Linked DNA regions of Lonchura striata. The protein of the gene in region 4 purifies or fractionates together with the protein of the main gene of each other region. This does not show direct contact. Links are inferred from orthologs where the notes say so. Each region holds a gene or a part of one and is shown on either strand. Other genes may lie near its edges. The genes, in order: HSPE1, ENO1, TPI1 and SOD1.

Region 1 (7,119 bases), on a different chromosome or scaffold from region 4:
ATTATAAATAAAACATTAACACATTAGTCAAACATTATCACCCTTTCACAATATAAACCATTAAAAATCAGATCCTGACACAAACCAGCCTGGGACGTATAGAGGGACTCACGGTAAAGGAAGGCCAAGGCAATGTGCCCAAGCTGAAATTTAACCTGTTTTCCAGTGTTGCTACTGACTGAACACTGCTCTGGTGGGGAACCAGCCCTTCTGATGTGGGAGCACCCAGGCACTGGCATTTCTGTGAACTCTTATTGGCATATGCATATCCAATGTGCAAAATTAACAAACAGTTATTCAACAATTATTTCTTTTGATTGCTGACTTTCTTTAGTCCAAGAAGCCTAATCCTTATCGATAATGATATTTTGCACAGCACAAGGCAGCCAATACCACATTTTGGGGTTCCACCCTGCTCACAAGTCACAGACATTTGGGCACGTAGTAATTTTAACAAAGAAGTCTACTGGTCCCTCAAGGTTTTGGCTGAGATGTGATGAAATATGGTATCACATAAAACACTGTCTACAAAAGAAACTCCACTCCATTTTACAAATGATGAAAGGAATGCTGGAATTCATTTCAGGACAACTTGAGATTTCTACCTGCTTTTAAATCCCCACTTGCAATTTTAGCCATCACAGTCATCCATTACCACTTTTGCACAACAACCATCCCACTCTCACGGCAACATTCCAGTGACCACCACACCATTACTGGTTCTACCAAATGGAATGCTTCAGGGTGATTACCTTTCCTCTGCCTCCAGATCCAACTGCTACTACTGTTGCTTGTAGTACCTTCCCTTGGGATTTTTCTGGTATCATGATTCCTCCTTTGGTTACTGTCTCAGCCGCACATCGCTCAACCAGCACACGATCAAAGAGGGGAAGAAATTTCCTAAATGCTTTTCCTGCCTGTGGAAGTAATTGTACATTAGTAAGAGCACCATTACAACAAAAACTGCAATTAAAAGGAGTTTTAAAAATCCAACACATAGTGATTCCTCCTTTGAGAGAGATGAATAGTGTAAGACAACTGCTAAGCACTTCTTTAATAGCAGCAAACAAGTACCAGCTCTGACTGCATCAGAAACTCCTGAAGGCACAGGCAGATGCTGGGAAATCCTGACAATTCGGCCGTAGGAAGATGTACTCCAGCTGGGGAATAAACCGCCCTCGGACAGAGCAGACTCCTCTGTCTGGAAAGGCCTCTAGGCTTTTAACACCAAACCCTTAGTTGCTATAGCTTGGCGAACATAATTATTGATTATATGAACCGCATTTCTCCAGTTCACAACCAGATCTAATGGAGATTAAGGACTCCTTGGGAGAGCTACATCTACACTTGTGAAAGGGTTTACATTAAAGAAGCACAAGTCTAACCAGGTGCCCCATTGTCAGCTTTTCTCAGGTGCTTTCAAAAAAATAGGTGAGAATCTGCAGCCTGAACACAGTGCTGTTACTTATCCCAACTTCTACAAAGAGATTCAGAAAAAATTAAAAGAAAGTTTAGGTCAAGAACCTGAAAATGAGAAGCTAGGCACCCTTCTAGCTCAATTGCTTTGGTATCTGCTTCTGTTTAAGCAGAGTCAAGTTGAGGGGTTTTTATTAAGCTGTTGGGTTTTCCTCTCATATCTGGCTTAGTTTTGGGGTTTTTTTACAACTACCTACTGCTACCTGTCTGCATTCCAGAATCGGCAGTCAAATTCCCATAGGCCAGATAAATGCCAGCAAATGCATTTATCCAAAAGCACGGGGGTCAGGAAGAAGGAACTTGCTTTGATTTAGAAGGAAAGATATGGCCACTTGCCAAGTCACATGGAGCTAGTGCTCCACTAGGCAGGTACACAGAGGCCACACTCAGAAAGAGCCAGAAGGGCCTGGCACCCGTGTCCCTTTGCTGGCACTCACCGGTATCCACACACACTTGAGAAGTGGCAGAAAGCAGAGCCACAGGCAGAGCGCGAACAAAAGGCAGCTCATAGAAGATGTATTTGACTGCTGTCAGCAGCACAGGGATGAAAGCTAACCAAGGGAAAAGGCTGCCAGTTCTGTACGTTTCATTCTGTGAAAATAATATCGCTGACCCTCCTTTTTAAGAGCTGTTTTACGTTTACCAAAAATAAAGCTGCCAGACTAATGATCATGAACATTTTACACCAAGTTTTAATTCTTTACGTTATTATCATCACAAGAACCAAGTATCACTGCAAGAACAAGGGCAACTCAGTCAAACTCTCCTTCTTCCCTATAAAAAATTTCACTAAACGTACAGAAGGAGAGCTCTGGAGCGTGGCACAGGTTTCCATCTCCGCAGAGACCCGCCGTGGCCTGTGCGGCCCTGCCCTGCGGCGCTGCTGTCACGGGGCTGCTCCCGTTACTGCGGCGGGGAGGAACCCTGAGCTCGAGTGTCTGCGCAGCCAAAGGCAGCCAGCCCCGGCAAACCTCCCGCCACGTCCCGGCCGCAGCCCCCGCGCCTGCCGGGGAGTCGCCTCTGCCCCCCGGACTGCGTGACCTTGCGGCGCCGCCACCCCGGCTCCACCTTCCCCGCGCCTCCCCGCGACCCAGCGCTGCCCGCGGGGACCGAGCGCAGCCGTGCGCGGCCGCGGCTGCTCGGGGGCCCCGGCAGCGACCCAACCGCGGGGAGAGCGGGGCCGCCGCGGGGCCCCGCGGGCCGTCTGTCCCCGCGGCGCCAGACACGCGGGGCGGGGCGGCCCGGGCCACAGCAGCGATGGGCAGGCGGCGCGGCGGGGCCCCGGCACTCACCATGCTGCTCCCGCGCCGCCCGCACCGAGTGACCGCGCCGCCGCCAGCACACACGTGAGGAAGGTCACGGCGGGCGCATGCGCGACCGGCGCCCCGCCCCGGGGCGGAGCAGACCCGACCCCCGGCCCCGGGGACGTTCAGAGCCGCCGTTTTTTTCCGACCTCTGCGGCCCCCTCTCAGCCCCGGGAACGGCTGCGCCCCGGCGGCACGGCGGGCCCGCCGCGCAGCTCCCGCGGCGCCCCGGGCCGGGCCCCGCACGGAAGTGAGGTCAGCTCACCTCTGACCCGCGGCGGGCATGAGCGTTCCAGAAGGTTCTGGAATCGGCGGGCCCGGGAACATGAATAGTTCATGCTACGAGCCCTTGGCGCATGCGCTGTTGTAGCCCGCGGCCCAGCGCGGCATGCGGGCTGTGGGCGGGCGCGGAGGCCATGCTGGTTCCGGGGCCGGGCGGCCGGAGCCGCACATGGGCCGGCGGCGGCGCGGGGGCGGGGCCGAGGCGGTGAGTGCCGAGCGCCGCCCGCCGCCGCCGCGCCAGACGTGCCCCGAGTCCGCAGAGCCGCGGTGCTGCTCCCGCGCTGCCGCAGGTGAGCGGGAACGCGCCCGGCGCGCCGGGCCCGCGCCGCCCTGCCCGGCTTGGGAGGGGCACGGGGCCCCCGCTCCTTCGGCCGCGCTTCCCGCGGGGGCCGCGCGCCGGGAGCGGCCGGGCCCGGGCGGCGGGAGCGGGGGGCGGCCGCGATGCGGGCTGTGCGCCCGGGCGGCGGGAGCGGGCCCCGCGCCTCCTGCGGGCCGGGGGTGGCGCGGCGGGCCGGGCGGCGGCGGCGGGGGGCGGGCGGCGCTGACCTTGCTGCGCGTGTCCTGGTGCGGCGGCCATGTGCCCGCGGGGCCCTGCCCGGCGCGGGGGCTCCTGCGGGCCCGGGTGGCGGCCGCGGCCTTGTCGCTCTCCTGTCCGCCCTTGGTGGCGTAGCGGGCTGCGGGAGCCGTACCCGAGCTGCCGCTGCGGCCGCGGGCGGGCGCGGCCCCGCGCCGAGCACATGGAGCCGCGGGCGCTCCGCGCTGCCCTCGCCGCGCCCTGCCCCGCTCCGGGCGGGAGGGATCGGACGTGCTGCAGGCCGCGCGGGGCTCGGCGGGAGCATCGGGGACACCCGGCCCGGTACCCGCAGTTACTTGTGTGTCGCGATTTCAGCCACTCGAGAAACTAAAGATTCATCGTGCCTGCTTTACTTCCTGAATCTCTTACCCCTCTTTTCCTGCAGAAGTAGCTGTGCAAAGCCATAATGCTTTTGTTTTTCTCTACCTTTCTTTTAATATTTTAGACATGCTCCGCTTATCTACAGTACTCCGTCAGATAAGACCAGTGTCCAGATCCCTCGCCCCACATCTGACACGAGCCTATGCAAAAGATGTGAAATTCGGAGCAGACGCGAGAGCTCTGATGCTGCAAGGAGTAGATCTTTTAGCAGATGCTGTAGCTGTCACCATGGGGCCAAAGGTAATGGAAGATTTGGCCTTTATGTTAGACCTGGCTGAAAATAACTGTAACAGAGAACAGTTGTTGAGTTTCTCTCGGTGAAGCTGCACGATTGTATTTGCAGACCTGCAACGCGAAAGGGTAGGGGAATGGGGCTCCTGCAAGCAGCTGTAGTCTCATGTCCACCAAAAGTGGGACAATAGTGCACGTGCTTTTTGAAGTAACAAAGTAAAATTGCTTGGAATCTTGTGAAAGGTACATTATATTCGTCTAAACAGTTTGAAGGTTAAGGAGTTGTGCATAATGTGTTACCAGCTCAGTTGATAACCTGTAACAGTGCAGTAGATAATGTAACTGTCTGTGTCGTGGGGTAGGTTAATCAGCGTGTGGGTGGCTTGGTTGGACTTTTTTATGATGCTTGTTTTGTTTGTTTAACAAATTAAAATTTTATATTGGTTTACCTTTTAAATATTAATAAGCTTTTAAAAATAGCCAAAGTGTGATGTTGAGTTTTCAATTGTCTGGTGAGTATTACCAGCCTAAGTACAATTTTGTGGTATTGCATTTATTACCCTATATTCTGTCCTGTAAAGGAGATCTGGGTCTCTTGGAAAACCAGCTGTGGTATTCTGCATAGTCATGCAATGTGCAGTAGGGCTTGAAATGAGATTCCTCTTTTTGAGGAAGAGACATGGATTTTCTTGGGGGTTATGTGAATATTTGTTCCCTATAATAGCATGTGCATGGTAGTTCTTCTGAGGATTGCTTGTCCTCTGTAACATTATTTCATGTATTTTCTGCCCATTTTTAGTGCTCTACCACTTTCATTCAAAGGCAAAAGTGCCATAAAGCTGAGCAGATGAAGGATCAATTATGTCAGGAAGCCGTGACTGCTTCCATGAAGGAACAAAGTTTAAGTGTAGTTGGTTAATTTAACTCTTGTTTTTTTGGATCAGGCTGCTTTCTGAATGCCGAAGCACAGTTCTAATCCACTGGCTAAAGGGCAGTTGCTGATGTAACGTAGTGTAACCTTAGGGGATTTTTGTTCATTATGCTGTTCTTCATGTATTGTAAAAATTGAGGGGTTGTGCTGCAGTGCCTGAGTCTGCTTCTGGCATTTTTAAGAAACATCACTGGTGAGGAAACCTCCTTTGGCACTGCTCTACATTTTAAGGAGCCCAGTTTGCAGTCTCACACAATCTTTTGGTAGTGCTCCAGTATGTTGAACAGAACTGGTTTGTGTGGGAGCCAGACCATTCCTAAATGCCTGTGCAGTTACTGGTGGTGTTTGTTCTCTTCTTCAGGAACACAGACAGGTGTTTTTGCTTCTAAAAGAGCAAGCCCTTTCATGTGATTTGTTATCTAGGTTTTGTTGTGCTCCTCTTCTCAGAGCTATAAACCAACCATTAAGAATAAGACTATATCAAATACAAAACAGAATTAAGCAAACTAGGAGACGTTATATGAAAAATGTACCTACTGGTAGCATGCTCCTCCACAGAGGAGTTTTCTTATACTTGAATCACATTTATATTTAGATGGGCAGGTCAAATAAGATAATTTATTATTTTATCATAACTATTCCGTGGCACAGAGGTAAATTTCAATGAGTTCTTCCCCTGGTTCAGCCTGAGTAACTGAAGCAGAACCTTTCCTTGTAGCTGCTGGGGTGCTGTGCTTCAGGAGCAGCGAGGCCTCGTGCCTGGCAGGCAGCCAGAGCTGGTTCGGTTTTGAGGCAGATGTGTGTGGGCTCCGAGCAGGGGAGGGGCACAGGGCACGCAGCGCTGGGTGCTGCACTGAATCCTTGCCTGGCTCCTGATCCCCACCCTGGGCTCTGGCAGGAGCCGGCGGGGTCAGCTCGGAGCAGGACCTGACAGACCCAGTGAGGGCACTTGTGCAGGGCTGGCTGGGAGGGACACTGCTGAGCTGGGGCTCCCTTCCCTCTTCCAGCAGCTCCAGCTGCCAGGATAGCAGAGGAGTTTCAGGGCAGCACTAAACCAGAGGTGGCTCGAGTTTCTGCTGCCTCCAGCTCCGACTGGAACATGACTGGGACAGCTGTTGGTTCCTGTGTTAGCTCTGCCTGTTAGATACAATGCTCCGGCTTGTTAGTTGGATTCAGGCGAGAGCTAAGATGAGAAAAGCTTGGTAACTTGAAGTGCTTGAGAAATTACTGTAACACATGAACACAAATTTGAAGTATTCTCAGTTGTCTTTGCTAATCACTATTAAGGTTTGCAAGTCTGCTTTTTTTTTTTCCTTACAGCATATGCAACAAATTGAGCTTTGTATTACTTGTTTTTTAATCACAAAGAATGTTTATTGTGATGTGATTAAAATTTTGAAAATTTGGTTATTTGAATTGCTGTACTTTTAATTTTGGGGTAAAATATTAGCATTAGAGAGAATCTCTTCAGTTTTTTCTCTACAGTCAGTGTTACTTAATAGCAGGTATTAAGCATTATGGCTGAAGAATGGAGTGTCATTCTGTGGAAACATAAAGCTTTTGAACCATTTTTCTGGTTTAGGAGAACTTTAGTATTAAAGTAAGTGTTTGAGAAGTCCCAGCTGAATGCCCCGTGTAAGCTGTGACTGTTCAAAATTTTCAGTTGAGCTCTTGAGAGTAACTTGCTTTGGATTAGCTTGGATTTAGAATTTGGTTTTTGTCCCCCTAGGGAAGAACAGTTATTATTGAACAAAGCTGGGGAAGTCCCAAAGTGACAAAAGATGGTGTGACAGTAGCAAAGGCAATTGACTTGAAAGACAAATACAAAAACATAGGAGCCAAGCTAGTTCAAGATGTTGCCAACAATACCAACGAAGAAGCAGGAGACGGTACCACTACTGCAACAGTCCTTGCACGAGCTATTGCCAAGGAAGGCTTTG
Region 2 (7,823 bases), on a different chromosome or scaffold from region 4:
GAACAAAGCAGACCTCACTGAGATGCATTCAGAGATCCAAACTGGGGACAGATGCACGCCATTTCGGTGACCAAGGGCCCAGTCCCTGCTTTCCCAAGGTCATCAGGGCCCAGTGTTTGCTCGCTCAGCTCTGCAGTGTTTTTTTCTGCAGGCAAGGTCATTGCAGGGACTTTCAGAAGGAGCAAAGTGCCCACAGTCCATCCTCGCCACTGCACTCTGAGGAGCTAAAAGTGATGATGGGAGCTGGAAGTGTTTCCCATGAGAATGAGGTTGATGTTTAAGGCAGGAAGACAACATGAAGGAAATTTAAATTCTCTGTCTGTGTTGTACCTGTTCTGTGGCAAGAGGATCCTGCTTGATAACTCTTGTGCTTTACATAACTATTTTGCACCCATTAAGGAAACAAATGAGTTGTTATTGGACTACTCTTTTTTTTTTCTTCGTGTTATCATTCAGAAAAAAAACCCAATCCTAAACACCAAATACAATTTCTTAATGGCAAATCAATTCCTAACTTGCTTTCCCCTTTATAGTGGAATACATTTCAAAGAGAGGGGGAAGGCCCTGCTCAGCAAGGAGCCTCAGACACTCTGTGAGAAGCAGTGCAGGACTTGCACTCTGGCCTCCATAAAGAGAATTACTGCATGGTTTCAGCATGGTTGCAACAAGCAGCTATGGCCTTTGGATCCAGAGTTCCTGGCAATTAATATCCAGCTGGTTCAGAAGCTTTCAGTCTCCTACAAATCACCGTATCGGATCATCAGCTCCTGGGAAATGTACTCTTTGGTATCAGTCCCCTGATTCATGCATTGGTTCCCTTCCAAATGACCATTCCCTGTGCCCTGAAGATGGATGTGGTAGTTGTAAATTTAAATTAGCATTTCCAGTAGTACAGAATATCCTGCCTGGTACCCGAGGGTCTCACACAGCCCTCGTGTACTCAGGGAGGCTGATGGTGGAGCCACACTACACAACTGCACACAGACCCACTCTAACCAGTATGGACCAACCAGCCCTCCACTAAAGCCCTGGAGAAGACAGGATGATGAAGACAGGAAGTTAAGAGCATTAAGAAAGCTGGAAGTGCTGGAAGGTAAGAGCATTAAGAAAGCCATGAGGTCTGTCACCTCCAGCCATTTCACTATTCATGCGCCTAAAGGTGCCTCGCTGCAGGGTGAAGCTGTGAGACAAAGGCATTGCAAAAAATGGGATGAAAAGTGGGGGAGAAGGATGTAAAGTCAGAGGAGGTTCTGAACGCCTGGAAGAAAACATCTCAAACAGTCATTCCACAATTTAATAGATACCCAGAAAGAGCGTTAGTCAGACTCTGCCATTACCTTTCCAATGAAGGGTCCGTAAAAACACCAGGATCTGCAGGGTGGATGAAGAGCAGAAATCTGAGTGACAGAGTGCTCACGTCTGCATCCAGTGGCTTCCCTCTGGAGGTCCCACCTGGACTGAAGCGAGTCGCAAAGCCTGGCTCCCTGAGATGCAGAGCTGCCCTGCCAAGGGAACCTGCTCAGAACACAAACAGGCTGGCACTTGCAGAGGTGTCGGATGCAGCGGGTGAGGGAGGTGCTCACGCAGCCACCCAGGCACATCTTCAGGTGTTGTGGGAGGCACTGGGGGGAGAGAGAAGTCCCTGAGCGTGCAGGAAGTGCTTCAAGGCTCTCTGAAAGCTCACGCCCTGGAATGTGCCCTGCTGCTGCTAATGGTTATTAGCACTTGAATGCATCGCAAACAAGTTCTGATCTGTGGTGGTTCTGCTCTGCCTTGGCACCCTCAGCTGCCTGAACCAGTGATTTCACACTCTGCAGAGCTCAGAAGGCTCCTGCCCAACTGCTCGAAACAGGGCAGGGAAAGGCTGGCCTGGCTGGCTTCTGTGCTCATCAGCGTGTTGCAAGCCACCAAAAAACTGACATTTATCACACTCCAATTTTCCCTGTAAAGCACAGGGAATGTGAGGCCTTGCAGCGGAGGGATTTTGCTCCTGAGAGTCGCTCTCTATTTCTGGGTGGTGGATGCCTGTGAGCCAGGTCTGTGCCAGTGGTTTTTCCCCCTGCTCCATCAGCAGTTCTGCTGTGTGAGTGTTCCTGTGTGGGCTGTTGAATGGGAGCACTGGCTTTATGTGTCCCCAAACTCTCTGTCCCCAGGGTCCACCCCATTAGCCATACAGGCCCCTTCCAAACCATGAAATACTTAAAGAGTATACTGAGTATTTGATACTGGTAACAAGCTTGGATTCCAAAAGAAATTTCTGCTTCCTAGAAATCTCATAGCCTTGGGGATGCTCTTTAAAGCAAGACAAAAAGAAAAATCAGGTAGGATACACAGCTGAGCAGCAGCACTTTTAATATCAGCTCTGAGTTTAATTTTAACACGTATGGCACAGTGCGAGTTTAAATCTGCTGATCCAGGAAAAAATTATACCAGCACCTGATCAGTGCCAGGCTCCTGGGTGCCTGGGCACTGCTGCCTGCAGCCCCGTGTCCCCAGCTGTACCTCCTCGGAGCCCTCAGCTCATTGCCCAGGCTCCAGACCAGGAAATCTGCTTTGTGCTGCCCCTGTGCCCACAAGGGAAGGAGGGAGAGGCAGGGGACAAGACCTAAACTCCTCCTGGCAAGTTCTGGGTTCTTTCTCACAAGGAGGGGTTTAGGTTGGTCTCCCACAGCCACTTCTCCCTCACAGCTTTGGTTTGGTTGAATGGGAATAGGGCAAGAGCTCAGTGCTCTGGGCAGGGGGTTCCTTTAAACCCCACTTCTGCCTCCCACCAGGCTAATTATGACCTTTCAGAAAACGTTTTGTCCCCAAAGAGCACCCTGCTGTACTTCAGCATCAGCCTTTGCTGGCTACTACAATATTTAATTTCCCTCAGCCTCAGGCTTTCTTGTGTTCCATTTTCTTTAGCTCATTATAAGATTTGACACCTCTGTGTGATTTTCCTGCATGGCAATAAAGGCACTTTTATAAAGTGCAAAGATAGTGAAGCATCTCTAATCCAGCAGTTAACCAGCATAAAAATGCAGCTTTAGGATTTCCAGCATCTGGAATGTGTTTTTACAGGGAATGTTCCCCTCTCATGCCCTCACACTGGGCAGGGTGAGGCTGCAGGATAAAGTGCTGCCAAGGACACAGCTCTAAGGGGTACAATGTGCAGTTTGGGGGGGCTGGCACTTCAAAGAATTATCTACCTGTGACAGCTTAATTCCAAGGGCTTTCCCTGCCCAGTGGTGCCTTATCTCAGCTGGGTACAACCTGATTCATGGCTGTGCAGCCACAGGGATGTGCAGGGAAGGCAAAAGCCCCACAGGCAGTGGGCATGGGGGACACGGGGCACTGTCACAAACCAGCCTGGCTGGCACAGGACTTCTCCCTCTGCAGAGGCTGCTGTCCCAGCGGGAAGGTCAATCCTGCAGACTTCCTCTGCTCTTTATTAGACTTTAAGCTTGTCCCGAGGGGATGTTCTCAGGAAGGAAAGAAAAATGTGCCCAGAAGGTACATCCGGCACAGGGCGAGGCAGGGCTGAAGCACCACGAACTTCACTGATCTGTGAGCAATAAAACAGCTTTGTTGGTGCAGTCAGGGTGAATTGGCACTGCCACATCCCCACAGATAGAACACGGAATGCTTTGGCTTGCTGGGACCTTAAAGCTCAACCATCCCAGCCCTGACACGGGCAGGGACAGCTTCCACTATCCCAGAACACTCAGGAAAGTTTGTGCTCCTGCTGGCACACTGGTGTGAGGTGTCACAGCCCAACTTTTCCACACTCGGGAAAATTTGTGCTCCTGCTGGCACACTGGTGTGAGGTGTCACAGCCCAACTTATTACATACTCAGAAAAGTTTGTGCTCCAGCTGGCACACTGGTGTGAGCTGTCACAGCCATCACGTTTAGTGCTCCTTCTCCCCTCCAGGAAGTGTGATGGTTACTCACTTCAAAATCAGAGTGAATATTTATTGTGCTTGTAATTAACCTTTTCCTGGAACACACACATCCGCTCCAGCCTTCCTCCTTCCAGGTTTACTCGTTATTCCCACACCGTCTCAGTCTCCTCAGACCACCCAGCCCCAGCCCTGCTGTCTCATCTCTCCTCATCAGGGAGATGCTCGACCCCAAATTCGTGGCCCCCATGGACCCTCTCCAGTATTCCTCGCCTTTCTTGCACTGCAGAGCCCAGAACTGGCCACAATTGTGAGGAAAGGCTGAGGGAACTGGGATTGTTCAGCCTAGAGAGAACCCTTGTCCTGGCCTTACAGCGCCTGAGGGGAGCTTAGAGAGATGGGGAGGGACTGCCCACAGGGCGAGCAGTGGCAGGACAAGGGGAATAGCTTCAAACTGACAGAGGGCAGCTTTAGTTTGGAGATTGGGAAGGAATTCCTTGTGAGGGTGGTGAGGCACAGGGCATCCATGGCACTCTGGATGGAGGATAACTCTGAAAGCCTCCAAGGCCAGGGTGGACGGGGCTCGCAGCAAGCTGGGGCAGTGTGAGATGTGGCTGCCCACGGCAGGGCTGCGGGACAGGCGGGTGTCCGGTGCCGGTGCCGGTGCCCAGCCGCGCCGCCCGTCCCTCACGCCATGCCCGCCTCACGGCTCCCCCCGCGCCCGCTCCGCATGGTCCCGCCCGCTCCCCCCGCCCGCATGCGCCGCGCCGGCCCCGCCCCTCGCGCGGGGATTTTCCACGAGGCCCCGGCCCGGCCGCACGTAGCGCACGCACGCGAGCCCGCCGCTGGCGCGAGGCGGCCGCGGCCAATCGGGACGCGGCGGGGGACGGCGCTGGCCAATGGGCGCGGCCGCGGGGCGGGCCCTGCGCGCGAGGCCGGCTATAGGCGGGTGCGCGCGGGGCCGTTGGGTCTCAGTCGGAGCCGGGGCGGCGACAGCGGCGGGGCTGCGGAGCGGGGCTGCCGGCACAGCGGTGAGTGCGGCGGCTCGCCCCGCGGGCCCGGAGGCCGCGCTTCCCTTCTCCGGAGAGGGAATCCGCTCCCCTCGGAGCGGCCGCGGAGCCCCGGCCGGGCCGAGGCTCGGTGGTCCCCGGGGGTGCAGGCTGCTGTGTGGCCCTGCAGCGCCGGCGGGGCAGGGAGGGCCTGCGGCGGCCTGAGCCCCGGCGGTGTGCGGGGGTGGGGGTTAAAAGCGGGGGGGATGCGGTGGGTCAAGGCGGGGGCAGAATCAGGGGGATGCGGTGGGTCAAGGCATCCTCAAAGACAGCGTTTAACCTCTTTCTTTTAATCATTAACAGTAGCTCTCGGATTGCGTGTGGTGATTTGGACCTTCCCCTCTTTAGTAGATGTCCTTTAGCTTCCCATCTCAAATATTTAACGTTTGCTAGCATCTGTGCCCGAGGTCTCTTAGCGGGTATTTAAGTGCTGGTTACCCCAGGGCAGCGTTGGTGGGGAGCAGCAGCTGGATGTGCAGGTGTGGATAAAGAGCTGCCTGTTAACCATCTTGCCTCGTGCAGGGCTGCCAGAGAGGACCCTGGGCTTTCTCCTGCTCCGTTACTTGCCTGCTGAGTCACAGGGTAGGGCCGTGGCTGTCTGAGCCGGCAGGAAGTACTGAAGTTTGTCATCCAAGCCCACAGGCTGAGCCAACGCACTTTCAGGCCTCCATCTTACTAAACGCAGAGAGAGAAAGTGGTTGAACGTGTCTGCATCCTTCAGAACCCGTTGGATCATGTTGTAGAGGTGGATTAATGCCCCGTGGAGTGGAGAGGAGCAGGGTTGGAATGTGCACATTTGTCCAGTTTCAGGGAGAGCTTTGGCAGGGGAATTAATACGTTGGGATCTCATAGAGTGCACTCAAAGGTCTCAGCTTTTTTCAGAGCACTGGTGGTATGAGAGTTACGGTCATAAGGACCTTTAAGTGTCAAGAGAGGCTTCCACTGATAAATGTGGCATGCCTGTAATAAGACACTCACTAGGGCAGTTATTTCTATGGCTAAACTTTAGTGTTGCTTTTTAAATCTCCATTCAGATGCTTGCAGTGCTCAGCCTTAACCCTGTATTGATTTTAGAGAAGTGTGGCTGCAAGATAGCTCACAAGGACAGATTTTGGTAGTAGGGTTGCCTATAAAACATCTTTGGAAATAATTTTCAATTGGAGTGATCTCTAGTTGAGAGTACTGCATTCCCTGTGCAGGGTCAGATGAGGAATACGTGGTGATTTCTTAGACTTGAGCTGTAGTGAAGAAGGTCCTCAGAGCTGGCAGGGGTTCTAGGTGCTCCTGGGCAGGCCAGGCCAGGAAAGCTGGAGTGTGTGGCTTCCCCTGAAGGGAGACAGTGACCTTGTCAGCAGATTATGCTGCAGGAAAAGGTTTAAGGCAGTGTGCTCGTTAAATACCACCGGGCTGTTTGCGTGTTTGGCACAGGACAAAGGTCTGAGCAGACAGTGCTGCTGTCCTCTCTGCCTTCAGTCAGCATTTCTGTGGTTAAACCTGTGCACACACGGGCTGACCCTTGTGTTCTGGATGAGTTGACTGATTTGATTGAGGCAGAATATATCGTGGTGAGCTAAACAGCATCAGTTTTACCCTATAGCTCAAAGGGAGAATTGTTTCTTGAACACAGGAGTGGAGAGTTTGCATAAGGAGCATCATGGATTTCTAGGGTAATGCAGTGCTGTGAAATGCCTCTTTCTGCAGGGAAGGGAGGGACTTGTGGTCCTTTGTCAGGGATGGAGTAATGTCTGACCTCACAGGCATTCCCAGTGGAAGTTCTTGCAGTGTGTGCTCCTGAAGTGCCTCCTTCATGAAGGTCAACAAACAGCTGTAGCACTGCACTGAGACGTCCTGGAAACTGGCTGTGCTTTCAAAGAATGAGCCACCTCAAATTCTGTAGCAAAGCCAAGGTTCTAAAAATGAAAGTAAGGTTTAGCAGGTGATAAACTCCGAAAGCCTTTTTGGATAAGTGGGCATTCTTCCTGTTAGCCATTGCTCGGTGCATCTGCAGAGAGCTAAGTGTGGGTGGGACTGATAAGCAGAGACTTGCAGGGATTTATTTCTAGCTTGTGTGTTCACTGACTGAAGCTAGGTAGTGGCAGCATGAAGGTCAGCTTGAAGAAGCTGTCTTGTTTCATATTTTAGTCAGATCATGTGTCAGTGTGGGGGTCTGACTGAAATCTTAGACAGCACGCAGGGGCAGGACAGCTGGAAGGGACAGGGAAAGCCAAAAGGGGGGAAGCAAAGGTTGCCTGTGCTTTTGACCTGGGGAGGGCAGAGTTTGCTGTGGGGGAGGAACAAGAGTGTGCAACTACCCCCTCACAGACTGTGAACCAGCAGCAGCATTTCTAAGGTCATGTTTTTTTAACTTTGCAGTAACTGTGGAAGGATTCATGACCATTTCTGTAAACAGGGTTGCCACCCACATTGGCTTGCCAAGAAACCAGCTTCCAGATAGTTGTGCTTCTGAGGCTGAGCTTTCTTCTGTGCAGATGGGCTGGGTTTGGTGCCAGTCGATGGCTTACAGGCATGTGTATGACTTGATTTTTAAAATGTGCCTGGGCTTACATAAGAATTCCCTGGCTGCACTTTTCTGAAGTGGATAAATGTAAGAAGGGAAAAAAGAAGTATCCAAAAGACTAGGGGGATTTTTTTTTTCCTTTTAAGATAAAAAGTTAAGAGGAAAAAATATTCCTGTAAATTCTCAACAGGGTGTAACTATTAATGCAAGTTTTTAATGAGCTGTGGCTTCTTCTCTTTGGTCATTGGTTCCGTTTGGCTCTGAGCAGGTGCTGTGCATACTAAGAGCACTCTGCATGCTGAGAGCTATTGCACCCTGGTCTCTTAGCAAAAAGAACTCTTGACAGATAGCAGAGTTGCTGTTTTGGGAGCTC
Region 3 (7,084 bases), about 11 Mb from region 4:
CCCTGCAGAGACTGAGCTGCTCCACTCTACATTGAGTGAGCAAAGTCAATTACCAGGCTTACAGGCAAAGAGCATGGATGAGCACATTACTGAGCCTGCCAGGGAAGACTGGCTCACTGGTGGAACAGCCAGGTGCTCCAGCAGCTACTGGAATAGATACACAGATATAACAAAATCACCACAGGCCCAAAGAAGAGCTGTTATATGCCAGAAGCAAGATGCAGGTTGAACCCATGTAGTGCCTACTGGAGTAATGGTGGGCTCTCAGGGAAAAGCCCACAAAACCCTCTCTGCAACCAGCCACCTCAAAAAGCAGTAAGTTCTCTATGCTGCTTGTCCCCGAGATGCTTCCAAGTAAGATCCAGGACACACCTTTGCTTTTTCTGTTTTTCATTTATTGTTCAGTACGGGACACAGGTGAGGTAAGACATCTCACAAGGGTCTAAGCTGAGAGATTCCTTGCTGATGGAGCTGAAGGATGCAAGAGACTGTGGTTCCTTTTTCCTCCCCGCAGCACCAGCGGCTCCCTGTCCCTGCAGGGCTGCAGGGAAAGGGAGAGATACTGGCCAGGTGGGCTGTGAGCTCTGAACAGGTCAACAGGAAACTGAGGATTCAGCTCAGAGTGGAGACTTGTCAAGACTCTGCCGAGACAGGCTCCTGCAGACAGGACTCTGACGTGGTGGGGGTGGTTAGCAGAACATCTAGAACAATGACTGTGGAGGGGGAAAGCCTCAAGGGAGGCCTCCGTACTGAGATGTGTGCAACAAAAGGTCCCTTCTTGCTTCCACTTCTTTACCACAAGGGACAGCTCCTCATGGGGTGCTTCAGTGTTTGGCATTGATAATATCCACAAACTCTGGCTTGAGAGAAGCTCCACCAACAAGGAAGCCATCCACATCATGCTGAGAGGCCAGCTCCTTACAGTTGCTGCCAGTGACAGAACCTAAGGAGGGAGCAGTGTTTTAAGGTCAGATGCGCCAGCTCTAGGAAAATGGGGCCAGAGCAAAGGCAGGACTGGCAAGGTACCAGCCACTTCTTACAGACAGCAAGACTCTCCCATTTATCCAAGCAAGCTACCCAAATAAGCTATAAGGTGATTCTTTATGCCCTGAAAGTCAAGAGTTTCCTTGCCAGGAAGAAATTATGTACAACTGCAGCAACAGGTAGAGAAATGAAGCACTTCCTGCCCTGGAAAGTCGCTCCAGACTCACCTCCATAGATAATCCTAGTTGACTGAGCAACAGCATCAGACACGTGGCTTTTCAGCCACCCCCGCAGCTTCTCATGAACTTCCTGAGCCTGCAACACAACGCAGGAGTCACACTGAGGCATGAGCCATTCTGCACACAGTTCCCTTCCAAAGACAAGGTTTCCTGAGGGGGAAGGGTCAGTTGGTCCTTTAAGCAGCACCTCCCATGCTCATACCTGTTGGGGAGTTGCAGTTTTACCAGTTCCAATAGCCCAAACTGGCTCATAGGCAAGAACCACTTTACTCCAGTCCTTCACATTATCTAGGGAGGAGAGAAGGTAGAGGTAAGCACAATACCCCCATACTGGGAAGAGCAGAGCTGGAAAATGGCTAAAAAAAAAACCAAATCAACCATTTCATTTTCCTCTTACCAGCAATAGCCTTGGTCTGTTCAAAAACCACTTTCTCTGTTATGCCAGCTTCTCGCTCATCCAGCTTCTCTCCAATACAGGCAATGACTCCAAGGCCCTCAGCCAGAGCATGAGCCACCTTCTGTCCAATCAGCTGGGAACGGAAAAGAAACAAGGCAGCCAATAAAACAGGTTGGAGGTATGTTTTAATTGTTCACTTTCTCAGTCTTTGCAGACCCATTGTAACTGGACCATGTCTCCATTCTATGAGGCCACTCACCTCATCAGACTCTCCAAAAACATGCCTTCGCTCTGAGTGGCCGAGGATCACCCATGCAGCTCCAATATCCTTGATCATTGCTGGGCTGGGGAGAAAGGAGATGACTCACTGGAGGAAGTTCACATCCCAGAGGCACCCTAACTTTATTCTCTGGGCTCACCTGATCTCTCCTGTGAAAGCTCCTTTTGGTACTTTATAACAGTTCTGTGCTGCCACGCCAATCTTTGCATCGAGCTTCTGACGGGCAAAGTCTAGGTAGATGGCAGGGGCTCCACAAACCACCTCTGCAAGGCAAAGCACCTTGTAACCCTTGTGACAGGAAAAGGGCAGAAACTGTACCCAGCCACTGATCCCAAATCCCAGCCCCAAGGGGTCATCCCTCTCTCCTGGGAAGGCACAGCCTGCCCCTCCTCACTGACATTTGGTGGCCCCTCTGCCACAGGGCAATCCCCGCTATCCGATTACTCAACAGCAGGGAGGAAAGCCTTTTCTAGGGGGCTGGACAGGCGACACCAGCCCGACGGCCAGCTCACAGGGGTCCCTTGGGAAGTGCCCAAATGAACGATCGCGTGAGAATCCCACCCTGCAGCCTGGCCTGGCCGAACCGGGCTGCGCCTGGGGGTATAGCCGGGCGCGGCGGCGGGGCGGGCGCAGCGCAGCTCGGTGCTGCGAGACCGCCGCTCGCAGGGCGCGGGGGCCAGGCCGAGGGGAGGCCCGGGCCCGCCGCGCGGGGTCCCCGGGGGTCGGCCGCACGTGGCGGCCGGGCCCGCAGCAGCCCGGATCCGGTTTCGCGAGTATATTTAGCCGCGGGGTTATATTTAGGCCCCGCCGCCCTCTGACATTTGGCGCTCCCCCGCCCGGGCCCGGGCCCGGTCCCCGGCTCCGCAGGGCCGTGTGGGACGTGCGCTACGTGCGGGCCGCGCCCTCACCGGTGTCGGCGGAGAGCTTGGCGCTATTCAGCGTGTGGATGAGCTCGCCCAGGCTCTTCTTGTCGCCGTTCATCTTCCAATTGCCCCCCACGAAGAACTTCCTGGGCGCCATGGCGGGAGGGAGCGGGAGCGGGGCCGGCGGCGGAGGAGACGCGAAGGTCAGCGGCGGCGGCGCGGAGACCGGCGCCCTTTTATAGCCCGGCGGCGGCCGAGGCCCCGCCCACCCCGCCCCGCGCGGGCCCGCCCCGCCCCGCCCCGCCCGCGCGCTCCCGCGGCCAGGCGGGCTCAGACAGGAGCCAGGGGGGAATTTCGGCTTTTATTTTGTCCCTCGTGTATTTTGGCATCTCAAGGGCACACAAGGGGAAGCGCTGCCCGTGGCCCGCCTTGCTGCCCGCCCCACGCCCCCGCCCGACAGGGCGGGCAGGAGGAACCCCCCCCATTCACAAGCCACACGTACACACGAGCCCCCTCCTCTCCTTCCGGACAGCAAGGAGGTGGCATCATCCCACCAAGCAGCGAAGCACTAGGGCTGTGTGGCACGGGGGTGGGGACAGTGAGGACATTTCCTACAGAAACAGATATTCCCAACCCCCCAAACCCCCTTCACTCATGTCCACGGGGGCTCCAGCCCCCAGTCGATCAGTCAGTGAACTCTTGTATCCCCGTGTCTCCACAGAGAGGCCGTGAAGGGACCGGGGAAAGCAGCAGAGAAGAGAAGGACCCTGCTCCCACCCTCACTGCCCCCACCCCTTTCCCCCCCCGACAGCTTCAGCCCACTTTCCCCCCACCACACACAGCAAGAGGATGTTCTAGCTGGGAATCCGCTGATAGAAGTAGATGTAGCCCAGGTCCTTGGGGGGCTTCTCAGAAGCACAGACTTTCTGGTCGTTGTAGATCACCCACCTGCAACAGGAGTAAGAGGAGCTCAGGAATGCCATTCGTGGTTAAGACACAACTCGATTGCCTGCTCTCAGTCCCAACCCCCCAAGACTTCTGAAGAAACAGGGCAGGCTGGGGATTTAAAACCAGTACCTCAGTTCCCTTACACTGTGGAAATCCTTACCTGCCATCTTTCTTGATGTGACAAACATAATGTCCACACATAGTTGAAGTGCCCATGTGGCTGATGAAGGCAAACAGCTGATATTCTTGAAAGAAGGAGGGAAGAGAGGATTGTCAGGGAAAGATGTCTTACACCCTAACATCCTCTGCAAGGCCCTCTCTAGAGAAGGATCCCTGAAGGAGGCTCTGCTGGGTAATAATTTAGAACTGGATCCCCCGTCAAGTGTGACTGTCAGTGGTCTTAAGGCCAGACATAGAGGGAAATGGGAGATGCTGACTTCCATTTAGACTTGTCTCTTCCAACTTTCTATTTGGGCCATGGCTCCTGGATGGGTAAGGCAGGGATTTTGCCTCCCTATGGCACCCAGGAGCCAAGCACCACTGGCACAAATTCTGTGCACAAACCAGAACTACTTTTTTTCAGTGGGAACCAAGAGAGCAAAAAAAGCCTCCTAGAACCACTGGACAAAAGCAGCACAGCCCTTCCTTTCTCTTCATGGCCCTTCCCCAACCTCTCTCTTATTGGCTTCCAGGTTAACACTCATCCAGCCTGAAGGATCTAGACTACTTTGCCATACCTTCCCTCCTCCTCCCTGCTTCCACCTCTACAACCAGACCAGCTCTGCAGTAGCTGCTGCTGCTAAAACCTGCAGTACTGCATGGATCAGGAATGACAAAGCAATGTTGAATTTGCACCCCAAAATCCACATTCCTATGGCTTGGAACTCACTTCCAGGCCCATCGCGGACTTTGGGACCCACAGGGATGGATTCAGAGATGGACTCGGCTGCCGAGCGCCCCTCTGAGATATCCATAGCAGCTTCTGCATCGAGGTCATCGATGTGACTGAAGATCCAATCCACAGCACGCTCCAGACTGTTGTTCTGGAAGGAAGAAGACGACAGTGAACTTGAGAATTCCTGTTCCTGAGAAAATCCTTGCACTCTGATGTCACCCATGCCTCTCACCGTGGCTCTAAGCGCTTTCATTGCCTGGTCCCGGGAGAAGCCCATGGAGACAATGGTGGCCACGCTGTCTTCCGAAGGAGGGTCTGGGCAGGCAATAGTTGACCCTGGCCCACTGGATCCAGGGAGAACTAATGGGTTAGCAAAGTCTGCAGCAGGAAACACAACACAGCTCCGAGTAATCAGATCTCTCCAAGAGGGTACAGCCCAAGTCCAAACTACTTCAGTTTTCCACTGTGGTAGTAGGACACAAGAACAGCCCAGAAGCAGCAGAAAGCTTCACCATGCCCATGGCCTCATACCTGGATCGTCCATATGTGACATGACCCAGTTCATGGCCGCCTCAACCCCACTGTTCCCTGTGTAATACACGGCTTTGCGGCAGGCATCCATGGGAAAGCCCATTTCCACTAGCTGGATAATCACCGACTCATCCAGCATGGGTGCTGTGGGGAGACAGAAGTTAGAGCCACCCACTCCCACCCATCCCTGCTGGCTCCATTTTGTCTCATGTCACACAGCCTCCAAAGCCACCACTTCCTAGCTTTATTTCACACCACCTTCCATCTCATGGCTTTTCTCAGCCACCTTTCTTCTTCAGAAGAGCAGTCTCACACACAGGCAAAGAACAAAATGATTCAACCCATGAACTCAGGAGCACTGGCTCTTCCCTAGGCTCTGAACCCAACCTCCCACTGTGGTTTGTAAAAATTAAATACCCCTACCAATTAAATGCTGTATAAATCCCAGCTCTGTCTCCTCTAAATGCACCAGACACGCCACCCCATCTTGCACAGAACAGGAATCAATAAACCCCCTTGCATAACACCCTTGCATAACAGGCATGCAAGGGAGGCAGCTGGCAATCGCTGACAAAAGGACAGGGAAAGTCTGAGCAAGTGGGAAACTGCTAGCATGGGACACAAGGCAAGGAGAGCAAGGAAATGAGTCAGGCATCAGGAAGAGAGGAGGAGAATCACTAACATGTTGGAGAGGAGAAGTGAGGGGAGCAGAAGGAGTCGTCGTCCTCGTTGCCATAGAACCCCAGGCTACCTTTGGGCTCATCTGGTGTCACCAGTGGGGGTGCGATGTCTGGCATTTCTTCCTCTCCTTCCTGCAGCCCCGTTCCCTGCAGTGCAGAGATATCCAGCTCCTCTGGCATTTCAATGGAAACATCTGCAAGATATGGTCTTGCTCAGCCTCCACGTAGGGGCAGAAGCAAAGGACTCAGCTGGGAGATCTAGAAGGGTAAGTCCCTGGGGATGCCTGCAGCAACTTTTGGGATAGTCACTTTCCTCCTGGCAGCAGTGACCACAATATCCATATGTGACTCCCAGTACCTATATGCTCTGTACTTCTCATCCTCCTTACCGAGTTTTTTGGGCACCCAGTCCAGACCAAAGGTGAACTTCTTGATCTGGATGACCAGATAGTCTGGGAAAGAGGCGAACCGTGTTGTTCTGAAAGAGACACGTAATATTTTTAAATACCTGGTCAGCAAAGACTAAGGGTATCTAGCTGATCCAATAAATCAGTGAGCAGGACAGAACCATGTCCTGAGCAAGTTGGGGGACACACCTGTCTGTGCAGTTCTTCTATACTGAGCTTAAAGCTCCTCAAACACAGAACTATTTCTAAGACAGAAGCCCTGATGAGATGGAATGCAAATCTTGGAGATGAGAAAAAATTGTACATATGCTCTACCTTCCAATCCTGTATTTTACAAACCTGGTCAGATTTTGTTTAATTGGAAGTCTAACTCTTAAGGAATGTAGTGGAAATAACATCTTTTATTAGAGCAACAGAACATGCAGGAACTGTCAAGCTTTCAAGCATAAGAGCGCTTTTTTGGATATGAAACAGAAGCAGTGAATTTTAAGTTAACCAAATTCAATAAAACATTTTTTAGTTAGACAATTTGAGAGAGAAAGTGTCTGGAAGCTATGAAACAGACGGGAATGTTTGTGAAGGGAGAAGCACTTCTAAGTGAGACAGATACTCATTACCAGGTGATAATTGCAAGATGCTGTAGAACTAAATCAAGTGACAGTAAAGTGTTTGAATACAACTCAGTAAAAATTAAAACAAAATGTTACTTTTCAATGTGTTATTTGTTTATAGTAGCTATTGCTTAATAGTAGAGAATTTAATAATTTAATTAATTAATCCATTAATAATGGAGTATAGAAAAGCCCTTCCAACTCTTTCATGACTTTCATTGCAAAAGAATACTCAGCATCACAGCAGAA
Region 4 (7,541 bases):
GGGTAAGAGCAGCAATGAAGAGCACTGCAGGTACCACACTTAGCTCTTGGCAATCCCAATCACTCCGCAGGCCAGGCGAGGCCCTGCGTTTCCAGTGAGCAGGCTCTCGTCATTGCCCCCTTTGCCCAGGTCATCCCGCCTCTCGTGCACCTGCAAGAGAATTGAAGGGACCTTAATTGATCTAAGTGCAGCTCCAATCATGGCTGCTCCTGGCAGCAGCAGCAACACCAAACTAATTACACAATGCCAATCTGATCTCTGTGCCACAAGCTTCCAGCTGGACCTGTTCAAGACCTGACCAAGGGCGACTCAGGCACCCACAGCAGGAAGGGGCAGAATTAGAGAGGGACATCTCCAGAAGGCTCGCAGGAATTGGGGTCCATGGCAGTGAAGTGCCACACTTAAAACACATGGGGATGGCTGTACATCCCCTCGCTCTGCTCTGAGGTTTCCCTTGTCACTCACCACCATGGTGCGGCCAATGATGCAGTGTGGTCCAGAGAGGGAAATGACGGAATCCTGGATGGACACCTCGGCCACGCCTCCTTTGGCAGTCACATTGCCCAGGTCTCCCACATGCCTGCACAAACACACAGGAAACTCAGAAAGTGGCCTGGACTGAAAGCGTTTCCAAGGGAAGGCTGGGAGTTTATGTTACAGCATAACAAAGGCTCCCAAATCCAGTGGAACAACCTTTCCTGCAAACTTGGTGAACACTGCTACTGTTCTCAGAGCTTTTGCTGTCCATGACAGCTCAGCTGTTCCACAGACAGCTGCAGGCTTTTGGTTTAAGGAGGATTAGGAGAAGCAGTTTGTCAGGCAGCAGGTCAAAGGCAATGCAGGAACTGCTCAGTTCCAGCCAGTACCAGGGATGATTATTCCAGTTTGGCATTGCCCCATCACTTGGCATACTGCTCTTCCATACAGCTTCTATCAGAGCTACATCTCTGCTAAGGCTTGCCAGGAGAACTGAGCCTCGAGCAGTGGAATTTTCACAGGACTTCTGGATGTGCTGGTGTGCTGTGTCCTGCACACCTGCCCTAAGCACAGCATTCACTCAAAATGCAGCTGATCGTGTTCTGTCAGGCTCCTCTGTCCAGATTCAGAACCTGGAATACTGACACATCCCTGCCAGGTGACCAGCTCAGCCAGCCCAGGGCTGACAACCAGCTTTCTGCAAGAATTCAAAGTCCTACAAAACTGGGTTAATGGCAGCTCTCCCCTAAGAAATTTGCTTGATTTTAGCTTCCAGAAAGCTTCTCTCCAGTTGTTTCTTGTACACTGATAAAAGGAAGATCCACTTCTTGCATCTTCCTAAGGAACTCCCTTGCCCACAGCCACACCAGGAGCAGATCTGTCAAGGTTCCAGAAGCCACAATGTTCGTGCACTCCCAACCTTTAGCCCCGAGCAGTGGTTGCCAGGGCCCCGACACACATTTCATGCTGTGTCATGCAGCAGCTGGCCCACATCCAGCTCTGCCGGGCCTGTGGCTCAGGTGGGATTTATCAACCATCCATGTCAGCATTCCAAGGGTGATGCCAGTACCAGGCTGCCTGAGCCCTGCTCCCAGCGCCACTCCCCAGATGCACAGGCACACCACTTCCTCTGGCACCCACCCAAGGGAACTGGGCTGTGAGAGCTGCTACCAGGGAAGAGCCTGGTCTCACATCCCACTCAAGTATTGATACCCAGAACAAGCATCAGGCCCTCACTGTCCCCTCCACCCAGGCCAAGCTAAAACCAGACAATGCCCTCAGAAAAGTATTTCACAGCACACTCTCAGAGAAACAAGCTGCTGGGGTTACTAAAGTGTGGCTAAGTGATCTTGGGAACCCTGCAGGAATTCCCACGGATTTTCTGGTACATCTGAGCCCCCAGCAGTGCCCATGCCCTGGACTCACCTCTCGGCATCACTGGGACCCCCGTGCTTTTTCTGCTCCGGGTTGAAGTGAGGGCCTGCACTGGTGCACCCTAGAACACAGCACAGTCAGAGCAGGATCCCAGGATAAAGCTCCTGCTCCCACACCGCTCCCAGCAACAGCAAACAGCTCCTCTCCCTGCTAATCCCCTGGAGATAAATCACCTGCTACAGACTTACAAGTCCCAGGCTCAGCCAGAAGCTTTATTATTTCATAACACTGAGATATCCCAAGAGTTCAGGTGAGTGCTTGGTATGTCAGGTCTTGACCACCAGCCTCAACATGCTCAGAGTATTAGCCAGGAAGCAATTCCTCGGGAACGGCCACAATTTCCTCACACAGACTTGCAGCCATGAGACCCAAGCTGCTGCTGCAACACCACGAGCAGCTCTTCGGAGCGAAGCAGCCACCTTCCCGCCGTGACCCAAAGGCCCGGAGAGACATCTTACCATTGGTGTTGTCCCCGAACTCATGGACGTGGAAGCCGTGCTCCCCATCGGCCAATCCAGTGATTTTCCCAGTGACTTTCACCGGTCCGGTACTCTTCAAAGGAGAGCATTTGTCACCACAAAGACTTTGGCATTACACGGCTCCGTGTCAAACGAAAGTGGCAGAAAGGCCCCGCCACGAGCCCGCGATAGTGACCTAGAATGTCTGCGTTCGTTTAACGCCCTCAAACGCGTTCTTTTACCTGTTTTATCAATAAGCACATGGAGTGCCTGTTATCTGACGGGGCCTTCCAGAAAGATCCCGTACTGTCACAGAGGAGCGCGAGTGACCCCGCGGCCGTGGCTCCTTGGCCGGCCACAGGGGACGGCGCAGCTCCTGAGGGCCGCGGCCATTTGGAACCGCAGCGCCCTCGAGCTGAGCCCGCCCCGCTCCCTCCCGCCTCGCCGGCCACAGGGAGGAGGCTGAAGAGGGAGATCCCCTGGGAGAGCTCTCAGCGGCCCGGCCGTGCTTTCACCTGCTGCTCGAAGTGGATGACACCCTCCACAGCCCCCTCGCCCCGCATCACGCACACAGCCCGCACCGCCGCCATCTTCTGCCCGCCCGCAGCGCCCGCGGACTGCCGGCACGCCCCGCCCTCTCTCCCGCTATATAGGGGGGGCGGCCGGCTCCGCAGCCAATCGTGCGGGGCGCCGCGCGCAGCCCGGCCAATCGCGGTGCGGGGAGGTGGGAGAGGCGGGGCCGAGAGGCGGTGAGCGCGGCGGCGAGAGCCGCCCTCTGGTGGCGGGAGGCGCATAACGGGGACCGGGACCGGGAATGATTCAGAGGGACCGGAGAGGGAGGTGCTGCTCACGGCACGGCTCACGGCTGTGTCCCCGCCGCGCCGTGGGACGAGCAGCAGCGCTGTGTCCCCACCCTGCTCCTTCTCCAGCCGCAGCTGTGACGGGGCGGCGGGCGGATGCTCCGTTCTTATCCCAAACTGGAGTGCGGTTGTGAGGCTGCCCTGAGCAGCTCTGCGTTTCGCTAGAGCTGCTCTGCCCTTAGGGTGTTTGGAACTTAAATCAGAATCACAGATTTGAGAGTACCTGGAGCTTTAGGTAATCACGGAAAGGTTTGCGTTGGGAGGGACGTAAAAGCTCATCCAGACTCACCCATTCCATGGGCAGGGACACCTTCCTCTGTCCCAGGCTGCTCCAAGCCCTGTCCAGCCTGGCCTTGGACACTTCAGGGATCCAGGGGCAGCCACAGCTGCTCTGGGCACCCTGTGCCAGGGCTCCCACCCTCCCAGGGAACAATTCCTTGCTGATATCCAATTTAAACCCACTCTGTGTTAGTTTGAAGCCCTCTGGACTGTCCAGCAGCTCCACGTGCTGCTGCTGTGTCCCAGGGCTGGGGCAGCTCTGCAGGTGGGGTCTCACCTGGGCACAGGGACAGAGGAGCAGAATCCCCCCTTCTCTGCTGCCCAAGGGGGTTTTTATTAATCTCTGTCTGTGACTAAGGTATAAGTGACTTAAAGCCCAGGTAGCTCTAAGTGACTTGTTTGGGGCCTCATTAGGCCGGGGAAGGATGCAGAGCAGTTGTGGTTGTTTCACACCTCAAAAGACCTGAGCCATGGCTCAGGTGACATTACTGCAGCAGAGAGTTGTTTGCAGGAGAGTACCAAACCAGGTGAAAAAGACGTGATCCAGATAAATACATGGAGAGACACATTGGGATTTGTAGCTCAACCCTGGAAAGATGCTGGGAAGAAAGCCAGCCCAAACTTCCTGTCCAGGAAGGGAGAGAAACACTCCTTGGAGTGTCAATCCTGCTGTGCCTGGAGAGGAGACTCAGTCACTTGTGAGGAAACAGGCACAACAGCAGCACCCTGAGCCTGCTCCATCGGGAGGAGAGCTTCCAGTGCCCTCGAGGTGGCCTTGTTTCATTTAAAGAGGTTTCTAAACTCCTTAAACATGGTAATGTCTCATTTTACTTCCCTTATCACCGTATCACTGCAAGGCTTTCTCTTACTTTGAGTCTGATCTCCAAACCCGCCCTGATGTTTTCATCAGGTTTATTGTTTCCTCCCTGGAAAACAAGATCAGTTCCAAGATCTGCCCTTCTCCATGCCCCAACACGAGTGTGGCACAAACAGATGGGTGAGAGCCAGATGTGTCAGGTTTCTTCATAGGCGAAGTGAAATAACCAAAAGTAATTTCAGAGGCTGATGGCGTTAATAATCAGTGTCAGGATACCTGGGGTGCCTCAGTTGGGCAGGTTTTGTTATGTTTTGTCCCACATACTTATTTTAAACTCATTTATTTTCTTAAATCTTGTCAGCAGGTGAGAAAATCCACCCCCACCCCCCTCCCAGTGCAGCTGAACGTGGTGTTTGACAGCACAAAAATAATCATTTGACCCAGCCACATCAAATGGTGACGTGATTATTTTATTATTTGGAATATCAGAGTCAGAGCTGAGAGGACAGAAGAGAAAGAGCATATTGATTCTCTCTAATCTGCCAGTTTAAAGGCAGTTTTGGCATCTTGATTCTCTCCTAATCTGCCAGTTTAAAGGATGAAATAACTGCTGCGTGATGCAGGTTAACAGCAACCTAAGCTATGTAGAGAAAAGTTAATACACTTCTCAGCAAAATGTGACAAAGTAGCAAAAAATCCCAAACCTCAGGTCCCGTGAAAAGGCCTAGAGCAAGGATAAAGATCTTGAGGGAACAATTCCTCAGTGAGATTTTATACAGGTTCAAAAAGAAGAGGGAATTTTGAGAGTTGTGTTTCCTGTGGTGCAAATAAATAATTTTTCCTGCTTGTGGTGATTCTCTGGGAGAAGCACAGAGCTGGAATGTTCATCTCACTGTGGGCTCCCTGTGTCCTGATCAAGAGTTGTGTGTTATGAACAATTCCTCCTGGTTGTGAGAACTTTGTCCCCACCGTGGGGCGAGAGCTGCATCTCTCTGCCAAGGTCTGCCCATGGAGGGCTTTGATTATTTCTAATATTCCTGCTACTTTTGCCAGTTCACCAAGTGCTTCAAGTATTCCACACAGCACCAAAGCCTGGACAGGATTCCCCATGGAAACAGCCTGACAGGCTGAAACTGGGACCACAGAGCCAGGAAAACCAGGATGGAGGAAAATAGGGTTTCTGGAGCTGCGGCACAGAGGGATGAGCGCAATCAAACTGTATCTTAGCTGGAGTTTTAAATTGTTTTTAAGCTAGAGCATGGAAATATCCTTTCTGAAACTGGCCAAAGATAGAATATTGTCCAAAAAGCACATCTGAAAATTGTTGTGTTTTTGTTTATGCACTCAGGAATGTTAGTTGGCCACTGAAAGGCACCTAAAGGAATGCAACCAAAACACTGTGTGTCTGTGTATAGAGACAATATTTATGGGATGTGCATTTCAAAATATCAACTTGGATAAAAATCAACAAAGTCCAAAGAAACCCTGTACCTTGTCATGCTTTATGACTGGATAAGGATTTCATTCCCAGTGATGAGAAAGCGTAGCTTAGTTTTAGACTTTATTGCCAGTTTTTATTTGAGAAATTCTTACACTGGTAACCAAACTAAACAAAAAACTCTGCAAGTCCCAGCCCATGTGAGCGTGTGCCAGAGGGAAGATCCAGGAGGTTCGTCTGGATTTATTTCAAACACAAACTGCCCTGCACTCTCATTTTTGCCACAGGCACAGTGGCACAGTTTAGTGGTACAGCAGGTGTCAGGACACCAAGGGTGAGGTGGCTTGGATTTAACTCAGCTCTGTTGGGTAATCCTTGAGATGCAAAGTACAAAACCACAGGGAAAATGCTAATTATTATGCAATTAGAAAATAAATGTTGCCACAGGGTAAACTACCCTGTTTCTGCAGGAAAGCTGGAAGGACAAACAGAATATAGCAGACAGGTGTCCAGAATAACAAAGATGTGGTTTTATTTGGAGTTTTAAACATGTGGCTTGTTTTCTGGGAGCTCTGCATGGTTGGGCACCATTGGGTTTGTAGAGCTGTCAGTAAAATGAGGCCAAAGCCTTAATACAAGCAATTAAAAAGTGGGACTGCAGCTGGAAAATGCACTGGCCACATATTTTCATACAGCTTCCATGGCACTGTGGAGTATTTATTCATGAGTATTTACATGTCCTGCATCTGTGTGGAGATATTTCCGCAGTCTCCAGCCATGCCAAAGGGCCAAAGGGTGCTGCAGGAGGCAGCCTGCAGACTTTGTACCCTGCGGGCTCATGTGGCTGCAACACTTTCTCAAAAGGTACTCAGAGCACCTCTGTGTCTTCAGGGCCAGGGCCTGGGCTGTGGCTGCTGGAGCTGGAGGCAGGAGCAGAAGTTCCCGTCCACACTGAGCTCTGTGCAGAGACTTCAGCCCCTGCCACGGGCTCTGCCAGGGCCGGGCTGTGGGGCTTCTTTGGAAGAGGCTGTGGCATCTCCAGAAGCGGTGTCTGTGCTGAGCCACATCCAGGCCTGGCACTCTGGGGCATCCAGGCGGGCACGTGGGCCTGGTGGGACAATTTAAGGCTGCTGACAGTCCCTGGCTGGTAGCCACTGTGTCACAGCGTGGGGAGGGCTTGGCCGTGCCCAGCCTGGCAGTGCCCAGCCTGGCAGTGCCGCTCTGCCCGCAGCTGGAGCTGCTGGAGAGCAGCACTGATTGTGTTTATTCCCTAATCCCAGCCTGTGGCTAAGCCACGCTTTGAAGAGCAGGGATTTTCTGGCCAGGACCGCTCTGACATGCCGTGCTTCAGGTCTGAGAGACCGAGGGAGTTGCTTGGCACAGGCAGAGGGTGCAGCCCTGCTCTGCTGTGCCAGGCATCTCTCCAGAGGAAAATCCTCCTCACTGCAGCCTCCTGGCACCTTTCCTCTTGTCCTGCCCCCCGGCAGGGAGTTGTGGAGAGCCACAAGGTCCCCCTATGGCATTTACATTTCTGGGCATTCAGAAACTGACCTCTAAGGACAGTTTGTACAGAAAATAGAGTCAGGAAAGGAAAAACGTGTTTAGCAGAAGCTAGAACCAACTTGTTGCTTCTTACACTTTTTCAGGTTCAGCGTGGGCTCTGCTGGGGACAAAAGTGGCAATGTGGATGACTGCAAACGGTGCAGGGGGAAGAGTTTGGGGTTGTTTGGTGCAGGCAGTTCGGGGTCAGGGAGTGACACCGGATGGCGCTAGTGCTC

The links.
Region 1: the proteins of SOD1 (region 4) and HSPE1 purify together in Homo sapiens (affinity purification with mass spectrometry; 3 studies listed by BioGRID, with this or other methods). This does not show direct contact. The link is inferred for Lonchura striata from reciprocal best matches to the Homo sapiens genes SOD1 and HSPE1.
Region 2: the proteins of SOD1 (region 4) and ENO1 fractionate together in Homo sapiens (co-fractionation; 3 studies listed by BioGRID, with this or other methods). This does not show direct contact. The link is inferred for Lonchura striata from reciprocal best matches to the Homo sapiens genes SOD1 and ENO1.
Region 3: the proteins of SOD1 (region 4) and TPI1 purify together in Homo sapiens (affinity purification with mass spectrometry; 3 studies listed by BioGRID, with this or other methods). This does not show direct contact. The link is inferred for Lonchura striata from reciprocal best matches to the Homo sapiens genes SOD1 and TPI1.

Annotation. Positions count from the first base shown.
Region 1 is NC_134610.1:28,261,658-28,268,776, forward strand, and holds the start of HSPE1 (10 kDa heat shock protein, mitochondrial), read right to left. Parts: upstream 3,017-7,119; 5' UTR 2,772-3,016; coding exon 2,769-2,771; intron 918-2,768; coding exon 753-917; intron 1-752. Other genes in the region: HSPD1 (60 kDa heat shock protein, mitochondrial), read left to right, coding at 4,084-4,257, 6,909-7,119. UniProt on the Homo sapiens protein: Co-chaperonin implicated in mitochondrial protein import and macromolecular assembly. Together with Hsp60, facilitates the correct folding of imported proteins.
Region 2 is NC_134626.1:1,242,185-1,250,007, reverse strand, and holds the start of ENO1 (alpha-enolase), read left to right. Parts: upstream 1-4,811; 5' UTR 4,812-4,914; intron 4,915-7,823. UniProt on the Homo sapiens protein: Glycolytic enzyme the catalyzes the conversion of 2-phosphoglycerate to phosphoenolpyruvate. In addition to glycolysis, involved in various processes such as growth control, hypoxia tolerance and allergic responses.
Region 3 is NC_134604.1:29,741,736-29,748,819, reverse strand, and holds TPI1 (triosephosphate isomerase), read right to left. Parts: upstream 3,008-7,084; 5' UTR 2,921-3,007; coding exon 2,809-2,920; intron 2,164-2,808; coding exon 2,040-2,163; intron 1,965-2,039; coding exon 1,880-1,964; intron 1,754-1,879; coding exon 1,621-1,753; intron 1,512-1,620; coding exon 1,426-1,511; intron 1,300-1,425; coding exon 1,212-1,299; intron 944-1,211; coding exon 825-943; 3' UTR 374-824; downstream 1-373. Other genes in the region: USP5 (ubiquitin carboxyl-terminal hydrolase 5), read right to left, coding at 3,618-3,711, 3,872-3,956, 4,601-4,754, 4,839-4,984, 5,138-5,281, 5,820-6,011, 6,207-6,295. UniProt on the Homo sapiens protein: Triosephosphate isomerase is an extremely efficient metabolic enzyme that catalyzes the interconversion between dihydroxyacetone phosphate (DHAP) and D-glyceraldehyde-3-phosphate (G3P) in glycolysis and gluconeogenesis.
Region 4 is NC_134604.1:18,641,280-18,648,820, forward strand, and holds the start of SOD1 (superoxide dismutase [Cu-Zn]), read right to left. Parts: upstream 3,001-7,541; 5' UTR 2,960-3,000; coding exon 2,885-2,959; intron 2,464-2,884; coding exon 2,370-2,463; intron 1,973-2,369; coding exon 1,903-1,972; intron 581-1,902; coding exon 466-580; intron 151-465; coding exon 40-150; 3' UTR 1-39. UniProt on the Homo sapiens protein: Destroys radicals which are normally produced within the cells and which are toxic to biological systems.